Linked DNA regions of Coturnix japonica. The protein of the gene in region 2 interacts with the protein of the main gene of each other region in a pairwise test. Links are inferred from orthologs where the notes say so. Each region holds a gene or a part of one and is shown on either strand. Other genes may lie near its edges. The genes, in order: HSPB8, QRICH1 and POGZ.

The links.
Region 1: the proteins of QRICH1 (region 2) and HSPB8 interact in binary tests that used the Homo sapiens proteins (3 or more experiments, as listed by UniProt). The two-hybrid records come from large-scale screens. The link is inferred for Coturnix japonica from reciprocal best matches to the Homo sapiens genes QRICH1 and HSPB8.
Region 3: the proteins of QRICH1 (region 2) and POGZ interact in binary tests that used the Homo sapiens proteins (3 or more experiments, as listed by UniProt). The two-hybrid records come from large-scale screens. The link is inferred for Coturnix japonica from reciprocal best matches to the Homo sapiens genes QRICH1 and POGZ.

What each region holds. Positions count from the first base shown.
Region 1 is NC_029530.1:8,626,037-8,630,145, forward strand, and holds the start of HSPB8 (heat shock protein beta-8), read right to left. Parts: upstream 2,826-4,109; 5' UTR 2,398-2,825; coding exon 2,028-2,397; intron 1,265-2,027; coding exon 1,201-1,264; intron 502-1,200; coding exon 342-501; 3' UTR 1-341. UniProt on the Homo sapiens protein: Involved in the chaperone-assisted selective autophagy (CASA), a crucial process for protein quality control, particularly in mechanical strained cells and tissues such as muscle. Displays temperature-dependent chaperone activity.
Region 2 is NC_029527.1:9,125,908-9,129,509, reverse strand, and holds part of QRICH1 (glutamine-rich protein 1), read right to left. Parts: intron 2,229-3,602; coding exon 1,899-2,228; intron 1-1,898. UniProt on the Homo sapiens protein: Transcriptional regulator that acts as a mediator of the integrated stress response (ISR) through transcriptional control of protein homeostasis under conditions of ER stress.
Region 3 is NC_029540.1:2,345,978-2,350,345, reverse strand, and holds the start of POGZ (pogo transposable element with ZNF domain), read right to left. Parts: upstream 2,857-4,368; 5' UTR 2,681-2,856; intron 1-2,680. UniProt on the Homo sapiens protein: Plays a role in mitotic cell cycle progression and is involved in kinetochore assembly and mitotic sister chromatid cohesion.

The DNA.
Region 1 (4,109 bases), on a different chromosome or scaffold from region 2:
GCCAGCGTGGAGATGGAGTTCAAAACAAAACCAAAAACAGAGAAGAAGAAGACACGGGACCACGGGGTTCCACTTCAACTTAAGAAGAGAAAAGGGCACTTTTTCGCTATTGTTACAAATATCCCATCTGCTCACCTTACAGCATTAAAAGAACCGTAACGAAGACACCCATTCTGCTGGGTCTGATGGATGCAAAGCCTCTACCAGAGTGTCAGACCACTGTGGGGCAGCTGCTCCCAGGGAGCGGGAGGGGCCGTGCCCCGGGGCCACCCCGCTGGGGCCCGAGGAGCGGGGTTGGGGGGGAATAGGGTCGGGGGAGTGGAGCAGGGGCACAGGGGCCCTCAGGCACAGGTGGCCTCTGGGTTCTCTAATGGGATCTCGCTGCCACAGCTGCCCTCGCCGTACTGCTGGTAGGGGGGGATCTGGGGCGCCTCGATGATCAACAGCCCCTCCGGCGACAAGGAGGCAAAGACAGTGATGGGGTCCACCTCGTAGGGCAGCCTGGAGGGGGAGAGAGATGTGTGGGGTTAGGAGATGGCGCAGCCATGTGGGGCTCACAGCCTTCCCACTGAGATTGCCCAGCAGGAACCCTGTCTGGGCTCACAACCCCCAGTTGTGTTACTGCTGCAGTGCCTGGGAATGCATAGGGATATTTAAAGTGGCCCCTGGGCTGCCTGGCGCTCTGTTTAATCTCCGTGGCAGATGTGTTTGATGGGACGTCACTGCTGCCCGCGCTCGCCCGGCTGCTGCGTCGTGCCCATGCCTTGCCCATAAAAGGAGCCTGGCTGCTGGCTCCCACCCGCAGCACACGCGGCTTTGCTGGGAGGTTTTGGTAAAGCGAAGCTGCAGAGCCACTGCTGCACTGCTGTGGTTTGCCCTCGGTGCTGGGCTCGCCTTCCCTCCCTGCTGTTGTTGTTGCTGGGGTGAGTCAGCGCGATAGCAATCAGACTGACATCACTCAGATGTGGATGTGGGTGCACGTGTGGCCGCACACCAGGGATGGGTGTGTTTTGGGGCTGGTGATGAGATCAGCCCCAAAAGAGGAGCACGGTGCTTTGCATCCCTTTCTGCTTTCATATCTGGGCTGGAGGAGCCCACAGGGCTGGTTTGGGGATGGGAACAGCGGGGCTGCGGCCATCGCATGTCATGGGGATGGGGCTGTATTTGTGGGAGGACGCCCCGGGGCAGGGTGATACCTACTGGATTTTCTTGGTGAAGTTCTTGGAGACGATGCCTCCTTCCACCTGCTGCTCCTCGTGTTTGCCTGCGGGGAGGACAAAGGCGTGTCACCACCACACTAGGCTCAGGGCTTAAGCCAACAAGCAAAACAAACCCCAGGAACCCTTCCAAAGGAGTTGTTTTCCCTTCCCTCCGTGGGTGTCTCCCATGTGAGGAGGGTTACACCACAACCAACGAAGAACAGCACTAAGCGTCTGGCCTGTGAGGCTGCACTGGTTGGAGCAGGAGGAGGAGGAAGAGCTGCTCTCCCCGCCAGACACCTTTGCTTCCCATGGAGCCTGAGCCCTGCTTGCTGCCAGGAGCCAGGGCTTAAGAAGGAGCCATCAGACATGATCAAATCTTTGGATCCCATCCCCATCCTCAGCCGCTCTGCTGGGCTGTGTGCAAGCCCTACGAAGATGGGGCTCAAGCTCTGAGGCCTCCTGGCTCCCCCCAACCCACAGCATCCCCCCAGATCAGCCCCTGGAAGAAGTGCTGCGTCCTGGCACGGTGCTGGCAGCCCCAGGAGGTGCAGGGCCCTGGCCAGGGCGCAGCGCTGGAGCTCTGGGAGGTGCTTCAGGCTGCCTCGCTCTCGGCCCCTTTAAAGGGAATCTCCCTCAGCTCCGTCCTCGCTGGCTATAATTAACCCAGCCAGGCTGGGGCCCCTCTCGGCAGCTCGCAGCTGGGTGCCAGCTGGAACACAAATCCCAGAGATTCACCCCAAAGGAGGCTCGGCCTTCCCGTGTTGGTGCTGAGCACGCCACCATGGTCCCCAAGCCCCATCCCACTCCCCAAGCCCCAGCCCTCACCTGACACCTCGACATATCCATCCTTGGTTTTGACCGTCAGCTCCTCAGGCTTGAAGCTGTGCACGTTGACGCACACCTTCCAGGGCTCGCGGGAGGTGGGCACAGGGCTGCGGCTCTCCGGGTACCCCCCAAAGCGGGTGCTGTAGCCGGGGGCCATGGCGGAAGCGCGGGCACGCAGCGGGCCCGGCCAGGTGGGGGTGAGCCGGGGCCGAGCCCAGTCAGGCCAGTCTGCTGTCAGGTCCCCAGGGAAGGGTGAGAGGCCAAAATCATCATCCAGGAGGCGTGAGGTCAAACCGGGCTCTCGGAATGGGTCGCGGAGGCTCCGCCGGCCAGGGTAATGGCAGGAGAAGGGCAGCTGGCTGTCGGCCATGGCTCTATGCTCCTTGTGGAGCCTCAAAGGCTGCGGAATACCCCGGGGAGCCCAGCCCAGGGCAGGCACATCCACACGCGGGGGTTTGGGTGGGAGCCCGGCACCGGGCAGAGCGCGATGGGTGGAAGAGGTTCAGCAGGGCTGAGGCATCCGGAGCTTGGAAAGCAAGTGTGGGGAGGACGGTGTGAGCTGCAAGAAAACGCTTCCTGATTGGCTTCGGTCCCAGGGATCGGGTGGAGGAAAATAAAACTTCTTGTCCGGAGAGGGGGGGGGAAAAAATCAAACCGAATATCCCGAGATTAAGAGCTTCTCTCTCCCCTCTTGCTCCCACAAGCACTGTGCTGCTTCCCCACCGCTCCCGGGTGAGAGCTGCAATAAATGCCTGAGCTCCGAGCCGAGAAACTTCTGCAACCTTCCACCGCCGGGCGAGCGCTATTTATACGCTTGCGGGAGGGGGAGGCTGTGTTTTGCAATTCCTGCCCTGTCAGCCGAGTATTTTGGAGAGGATGAAACAGCCGTGGAGAATCCGGGCTGTGCAGCTGACCTCCTGCGCCGGCCTGAGGATCCCAGCAGGCGCGGTGTTTTTGGCACCTGCCTAAAAATAACTGGGGAGCTCAGGGTGGGCTGCACACACTCCTGTGTCACCCATCAAAAATACCCCCAGGTGGGGCCGGGCCCCACACTGCACACCCACTGCACCCGGAGGTGCGTCACCAGCAAAAAGTGGCTGGGATTGTGAGCTGATGCCCAGGGCTGGGCCTGGAGCAATGCCCCAGAATCATTGGGGTGGGAGTGGGACCCTACGTGGCCCCGTCCTCACCCACCTCCTCCTCCTCCTCCTCCTTCTCATCGCGTGCCTGGCCGTGCCGCAGCAGGGCGAGGCGTAATCACAGCCGCGCGGGGCTAATTACAGGGCTGTAGGGGATGGGGTGCGGCGGGGTACCTGGAGCTGGTGGCACTGGGGCTCCTGGTGGCAGTGGGGTTCCTGCAGAGGGGGTCCCAGCACGCCGATGAGTGTCACCAGTGATGTGCCAGATGCTGCACTGCTTCCTCGCTCCCTCCTGTTTCTACCTCGCTTTCCTCAGCATCTGCAATCTCTCTAATGGACTTGCTGGAATAAATTGCAGCAGGAAGGCCGTAATGCGCTGCAGGCCACGCTGCAATACAGCCGCTGGTGGCTCAGAGGGCATTAATCATGGAGCAGAGACATGGCATCGCTGGGCAGGGCCTTTGCCTGCATGGGGAGCGGCTGCTTCCTGCCCTTATCCCTCATCTTCACTGGTGGGCATGGGGAGACACAGCCAGGCATCATGGGGTCTCCCCAGGGACTGGGCTATGACTGGAGGTGTGGGGAGGAGCAGAGAAGCAGCAGTCAGCAGAGGCTGAAGTGTCCTCTATCTCTTGCCCTGCCTGGCTGAGTGCTCCCATCACCCAGAGTGACACCAACACACAGTTTGGGACAGCCCCATGGCCGCCTCCATCCCTACCACATTTCACCCCGAGATCTCCAGTCCCACATTTCCCGAGTAGCTCCAGGCCATCCTCCCTCCCAGGCCAGGAATCCGTCTTGTCGCCTTGCTTATCCCCATTAGTCACACGTCCCTCTCCAGGAATCCCAATTTAGCTCCTGTTGTCACTCCAAATCTCCCAGTCACCTCCCACAGCTGCCAGCACCGCCACGTCAGCTCTGGGGAGCGCAGAGCCCTCCTGTC
Region 2 (3,602 bases):
CAACACCGCCACGCTGCCAGATAGAAGCGCAGTCATTCAGAGGGTCTTCACTGATTTGCAATTGGATTAGCAAGAATTAAAAAGGATTATCAAGTCAAGAACTGGGATTATTTAAGTTTGATTAAGATCTCAGAAGATGACCAAAGATTATCATAAAACAGCAAAGTGAGACAGAGGAATCAGAACACACTGCTGTGGTGGAACACTGTCACCCCCAGAGCCCCAACACAAAGCACAGAAGGCAAAACAAACACTACTGTCTGTACTGACAGATGTGAAAGCAGGTATACTAAAGCAGAGTTGCATCAAAGGCAAAGGAGAAAAGTACACAATGTATTTTACAAAAGCTTTTTGAGAGCTTGACTTTTGTTAAGATTTTTTTTCCATTCTCCATAAGGTGCAGGCCATTTGGTTTACAAAACAGGAACATAACTGGCAGCAACTCTATAGTTATTTTCAAGAAGGTCAGGAGCGCGTGATATTTGACCTCCCTCCCTATCTCTGTTACTAGGAGGCTTGCAAGGGTCAAGCCTGAACTCTGAAGAGTTCCAGAAGGAGGCAGCAGTAGGAAACACATGCATTCATACATATTCCTTGTCAACTTTATGATTGGTATGAGGCCTTTAACATCTTCAAGGCTGAGGCACTGAAAAAGCCCTAGTCCTTCTACGAATTCTTCTGCTGAACTGAAAAATGAAACTTCTCCCCCAAAACGTGACAGTAGACAGAACCAGTGCCACCCCTGACCACTTCTAATAGACTCACACAGAGATCTAAGGCATCTATCTGTGAGACTAGAGGCTTTTATTCTTCAAAAGCCTTGTGTCACAAGTTACTGTAGGGCAATGGGTTACAGAAGTCCTAGCTGAGCATTCAGTTACTCAACAGAAAGAGTAATTGGAGACAAGTTACCCAATGAAAGAGGAAAGTTTGTCTTTACGGTAGGATAAGAGCGCACAAGTGAGATGTTAGCACAGGTCTGTACCGCAGCAATGGTACCCTCATCTGTTGCAAAAGAAGAAAGCTCACAACCTTAGATGCAGGCTGCACAAGTCAGAAAGCTTCCCATCTGAAGCGTATCAAAATCACAGCCACAGCCAGAGTTCAGCCATTTGGAGATGCACCTTAAGAGAACCTTGGTAACGCCCCACCACCTATGAGCTCTTTAAGGAGTGTTTGAGGACCCAGGCAGCTGGTCCTCAAAGTTACATATTTTTCTTGATGTCTGATTTTTCTCATTTAATAATTAATACAAATTATTTTAATACCCGATAAAAGAGCTGCAGAAGAATCCTACAACTGTGCAAAAAAGCCAACTTCCATGACATATACGCTCCTTTTAGAACACCTTTCACGAAAAGCATCTTCCTATGGTTCACAACTTACGTCAACTTCTGTGCATTTCTCTCCACCTTTAAAAGCCAGCTCGAGAACTACAGCTTCCACAACATTCAAGTAAAATTATTGGAAGAGTACTGATTTCATAAAAAAATAAGCAAAAAAATAAAAGCAAAAAGAGTGAGATCCCACAGCCACTCTAAACAACAAGAAAAAGCAAGACCAGCAGAGGAGGAAGGGTATTTATAGCTGCTTCACAGAGTGCAAGGCTTCGGGGAGCTGTGTACATGCCAAAACTGTCAACCATTTCTCAAATAGGTTACACCACTACATTGCTATGTATGTTACTCCTCCTACAGCGGGGCTCAATGGAGGCTCAGCAAGACAAATTTACTACCAAATTCCTTAAACAAGAGGGAAACACTGTTCTGTATGAAGCTGAATGGTCCTGCTTCTTAAGCGCCTGCCTCTGGTTTCAGGTTAGCCAGTAGCTGGCTCTGAGCACTATTCTGCAGGTTAACAAGTCATATATACCTCCAAAGATGATTTAAGATGCTTACCTGGACTTGCTGGGGTTGCTGAACCTGTATCTGCTGCTCTTGCTGAGTTTGCTGCTGGACACTGGTTGTCACAGGGCAAGCAAGTTCAAGCAAAGACCCGGCCACCTCTGTGCTGTCCGTGTAAATGCAGTTGCCTCCCTGCTGGTACACCATCGTGGTGGTGGCTGTCTGCTGAAACTCCTGCAGAGCTTCCGGCCCCTTGGAAGCCAGGGAGTCCAGGAACTCCTTCATCCTGTGCTGGGGGATCGTTCGTGCCTTCACACGGATGTATTCTTCAAAGGAAATGGTGTTCTCCAGAGAATTATTCATATTGCAAGGTCCTGAGGGTTCCTTAAGGAAAGAGAAAGTGAAAACTCTTAACTACGGCGCTCCTCTGGTGCAAGGATATTCCCAGCTCCAGTGACTAACTTCTGATACTGAGCACCATATGAAATCCAGCAAACATGTAGGGCCAGATGCCCTGAGACAGATGCTTTAGCTTTGTAAGGCACCTTGCAGCGCTACAAATTAACCCTCAGCAGTTCAGGGAAGTCAGAATGCCACCAGGTACAATCATGACACCTATTTCAAAGAGCTCACTGCCATGTAACACCTTCCAGAATTATATCTCACCCAGACCAGGCGAGTCTCATCACAGAATAAATCAAATCACAGATCTCATTCGTTTGCAGCATGCAACGCTAGCGAGAGAAGTTCAGAAATCAATACACATGGCCCTGCTTCACAGCCATGGAGGTGGGAGAACCAGGCAGGGTGTTCTGCCAGGCCATGCAGCTCTACTCTAAACAGCTAATAGGAAGCGGAACAGAAGAGCAGCAGACGCAGCATTCAGCCCTCTGCTATTAAAACTAGTAGAGACCTATCGATCTGAACACAGCAAGTGAAAGGAGAGCACTGGAATCAAGAGATTCCTCAAACAGAACTACGCACACGGAGAAGCAGAGCACTGGAAATTAAGCAGCCAACAGCAGCATCGGTTCCTGTTACCTTTTTAATATAGGAAAAGATTAACGAGAAACATTTAAAGACAGCAGAGGGACAGCGGCAGTCAGATGATTTGGGAGAGTGAGTGCAAGGAGGAAAAAAAAAGATGACTACACCTGAGAACATTAGAAAGCTCCAGGGTACACACTGGCAGCGTTCTTCTCTTATTGACTTAACTTGTTTAAACCCACAAATTGTTTCTGTCTGCAGTGAGCATACTGCTTGTTTCTAAGGTACTCATTAGTCCCGATACAGGGTAAATGGATTTGAGCTCTAACACCACCAGCTGCTGAGATGGCTGTGAAAAGACATGAAACAGCACAGCATTCAGACTAGGAGAGGAGATGTGTTATTACCAGCGGAGAGGTAGAAAAAGGGACAACATCACTGTATGCACATATTGACTGCAGTACTTAATAGAAGTATGAAAAGCAGAACCCTTAGCAACAGTTCACAGTGATTTAACCAAGCGGAACCAGGACAGAGGTTTTTGATTGAACAGGAGACTGCAACAACCGTGTGAAGACGGGAGCAAGTCCAAGGCTGTCAGTGGCGTAACCGCACTGCCAAGTCCAAGCCCAGCTCCCACCAATACCAGCAAGCGCTACAGTGATCTCTAACCACTCTCTGCTGTTACGTGACAGCAGTCCAAACACACTGAGCTTTTGTTTACATGGAGAGGTTCACAGATAGCACGTTTGACCAGGCCCACGTGAACAA
Region 3 (4,368 bases), on a different chromosome or scaffold from region 2:
TATCAATCCTTTTCCCCCAGCTCCCCGAGGACAAATATCAGTGCGAAAAATACATATTAAGAATTAATTGACCCTTCATTTTTCCTCACCACTTGCTGTAAAACAACCTCCATGCTGAGAGTCCGGAGAAGAAAATCTAAGATCTAAAATCAAGGATCCGTTCCTAAGAGACCTACAGACGAGCTGGAGATGACTCAACACGCTCCAAGATAGAAATTAATACATAAACCAACTTGTGAGTGCCCGCTGCTCTCCCATTTTGTCCAACCTTGGTAGACACGCAGGCTCAACACAACTCCTGTCTGGTTACTTTTCTCACTCACTCTTAATAATGTGTATTCATGGCAAGGAACGTACCTTAACTTTTTAAGAGGTTACATTAAATGCAAATGAATCCTGTGATAAAGGTTCCTGCTGTCAAGACACGCCACAATCCCTTCCCTAAAGAAAAGATAATGTTCTTCAGTGGCTCTTAATGAATAACTGGCACGGCTTCGAGCTGATATAATCTCAGTGATGAAAATGTTGGATGATGTTTTCATTAGTGTTTATTTGGCCATTCATCATGAGCAACACCTCTGAAAGAAGGGAGCAGGTGGAGGCTCAGCAGCCACATCCCTCACACGGAGGTGAATTCACTCTGCACTGACTGATGCGCTCTGCTGGGTACCCAGGTTCTTCCACAGCCGTATTAAATTTGCTCTGAATGCCATCATTTAAAGCCCTCTGTATTTTATTAAAGGCTTTGATGTGTGCCATGCCTACTAATTAAAATCTATTATTACACTCAATTTTAATGATTATTATCTACCTTCAAGTTGGAAGTGCTGAGTGATGAAAACAAACCGCTTTCTGCTCTGTCTCTGCAGCTCTGCTGAATACTTGGGGTGTATTTCATCAACATGAGACTACCCTGAAGCTGCTTCTGGAGCCCACAAGCTGCCTGCAGCTCCATTCCTGCCAATGGCACGGAGCGTGGGGCAGGTCTGTCAGAGCAAAGACAGTCGTTGGTCTTTTGACAGACTCCAAGCAGCTGTGGGATCGTGCACACAAACAACACAGCCATATATATCCACAACACGCTGCCATCTGTGAGCAACACGTGCAGAACCCCCCGGCCCAGACAGAGCTCAGAGCTGTGGGACGGCTTCACTTCTCTTCTTAGGCACAACACAACTGCAGATACAATTATAGCCAGGTATGGCACTCCAGGATCCAACTTCCCATCTGCAGCAACCTCAAACCATCAGCGCACAGCAAGACCCAGCACAGGGAAGATGCTGAACTTCTATTTCTTCACAAACCGTTTCCTAAAAGAAGCAACAGATCCCCCCATCCTCCACCCCCAGCACAGCCAAGCTAATAAAACTAACACCATGCATGTTGTCCTGTGGCATGAGTTTCCTGCAGGGCAGTGCAACCCTGTGCACAGCATGGAGTGGAGCAGGGGACACAGAGCTGGGGTGTCCCATTGCAGCCACTGGGCTTCTATGGGACTGAAGGGCAGCACCACAGCGTGGTGGGGGTAAAAACAGTGCAAGTGGGGGTAAAAACAGTGCAAGCAGCTCAACAGCAAGCAGACAGCTCAACACCTGGATTCAGCAGGTGCAGTCAGGAGAAGTGTGGGACCATACAGACATGGAATGGGTTGGGTTGAAGGGGAGCCCTAAGCCAATAGCTCAGGTTGGAAGGGATCTCATAACGAATGGGTTGGGTTGGATCACCTACTGGTTAGATTGAGTTGGAAGGGATCAATTAGCAGACAGCACAGGGCTGGGAAGGATTGTTTGGTGAACGAGTTGGGTTGTGTTGGAAGCAATCACTTTGTGAACAGACTGGAAAGGATCCCTTAGCAAACAGCTCAAGGCAGAAAGGATTCCCATAGCAAATGGATTGGACTGCAAATGGGTTGGGTTGGATGGGAACTTCCAGACCCCTGAACGAACAGGGTGGGCTGGAAACTACCACTTGATAGTTGGGTTGGGCTGGAAGGGCCGTTCTGATCCCCCGCCCGCAGCCCCGCAGTGCTGCACCCAAAGCCCCGAGCTCCACCACCACGGGCACAGCGCGGGGGCTGCTCACCCACCGGCCCACGGCTCCGTGTCACCAACAGCCACGGACACAAAGCAGCGCTCAGCACCGCCCTGCGCTCAGCGCCCTTCCACGGGGTCGGTGCGAAGACTGACGGGCCACGACCCCCCTCCATCACCACGGAGCGCCCCACAGCGCTGAGGGGCCGGGGAGAGGCTGCAGGCCGCAGGGGGGCACGGGGCCTAAGGAAGGGCCTGTCGGCACAGAACGCGGCCCCGCTCCGGGCTGAGCGCGTCGTGCCTGGGAGAAAGGCAGCAGAAATAAGCCCGGTGCCCAACATGGCCGCCCACCAATGTTGGGGGGGGGGACGGAGCTCTGGGGTGGGGGGGGACGGGCCGGGGAGTGTAGGATCCGCATCCCGCGATCGCGGGGGGTGTGAGAGGATCCCTCGCCCGGAGCTCCTCCCCCGCCCCCCCATTATCCTCGCGCTTTGTGCTGTACGCGCCCTCAATCCCTCCCAATCCTCCCACATCCCAGGTGTGAGAGCGGTTCAAACCTCCAACTCCCCCCCCCCGATCCCTCCGCCCACGGCACATAACGGACCGCGGCCTCCTCCTCCTCCTCCTCCCACCCTCCGCCCGGCTCTCACCTTCCCCGCTCCGCGCGGTCCCTCAGCCCCGGGAGCGCAGCGCAGGTGGCATCGGGCGGCGGGCGGAGGGCCGGGGGGGGCGGGAGGAGGAGGAGGAGCCGCGGCGGGGGGATACACGCGGCGCCGCCGCACTCCACACACACACACAAAAAGGGGACCGGGCGGCGGAGGGAGACGGTGACGTCACTTCCTGCCGGGGCCGAGATGCTCTGCAAGGATTGGTGGGCGTCTCGATGACGTCACGCGGAGGGCGGGGCTTCCGCCAACGCCTCCTCAGGGGCGGTGGAGTGGGGCGAGATAAGGGGGGGGGGGTGTGTGGGCTGCGCTTATCTATGGGGTCCTTATGGCCTCCTCCTCATCTCCAACCCCATCTCCATCCCCAGCCCATCATCCCATCCCCGCTGTCCGCAGGTTCCACATCTCCGTGTGGAGAAGTAGTGGAGATAGAGTTTTGAGGGCCCTGGTTGGGTAGGGGCTGGATATGGTGATCATAGGAGCCTTTTCTAACCTTATTATATATATTTATAACTATATAATACAGTTCCTGGCTTTGGGTTGGTGTGTGTTGAGCACCCAATGCCACCATTGCGGTTACTGAGTTGTATGGGGTTCTCACCACCAGCAGACAGCTCCATTTTGGTGCTTGGCAGTGCTGTTCTGAGCCAGGCCTCCACTTTTAACCTTTAGGTTTTAAGGAGACATTGAGAAGAGCTGCTGAAACCCCTCGTCCATTAGAAGGAACATTGCGCAGGGCTTGAGATCCACATTGCAGCCAATGATGCGGTTCTGGTGTCTCCAGGTGACCAGGAGGTAAGTGTGGTGATGGAGGAGATGTGGGAGACCTTATTGGTGAACAAAGAGGCAAATCGGTTCATCTCCCTAATGTGAAACTCATAATTAATGTCAAAAGTGGACACCAGTGTCACTTCTGAGGGACAGCTTCAAGGTGAATGCTTTGGAGTGAATGGCCATCAGCATCTCCACAGGTTCCTAAACACAACTGCTGAGGTAGATGCAGTAAGAGAATGCCTTCAGGATCTGTCCCCATAGGATCGCTGGGGTTGGAAAGACCTCTAAGATCACCAAGTCCAACCCACCCCCACCCCACCATGCCCACTGCCTACATCCCTCAGTCCCACATCCACCCTCCTCTTGAGCACCTCCAGGTCAGTGATTCCACCACCTGGGTTGAGCAGTGTGCCCTGCAGCCTGAACCCAACATCATGTCTGTAAGCATCCCAAACATAACCAAAGCAACCACAGAAACACTTTACAGTTGTGCATTTCCTCACTATGTGTCTGGATCAGTGCCACCCGAGTGCCCTGCACTGTCGTGCCAACAGATCTCCCTGGGATTCTCCTTACATTTCCCCCACGGATAATTTCAAATGATTCATGTCTTTAATAATAAACTTCTTACTGTGAATAATTCTGTCGTGATGGGCCACACAGCTTTTGGCTGCATATGGTACAGGCTGAATACTGAAGATAATACAGTGAAAACTGATAATGCTTGTTTTTATCGACTGCCAGCATATTTTGCATAGAATCGTAGAATAAATTGGAGGGGACCATGAAGATCACCCAATTCCAACCAACCAACGTCGTTTTTAAGACACACACAAGTGTGCACTTCAAATCCAAGAACATTTGCATCTCCTGCATCCTTTGAAATGTCGTTTCCTTCA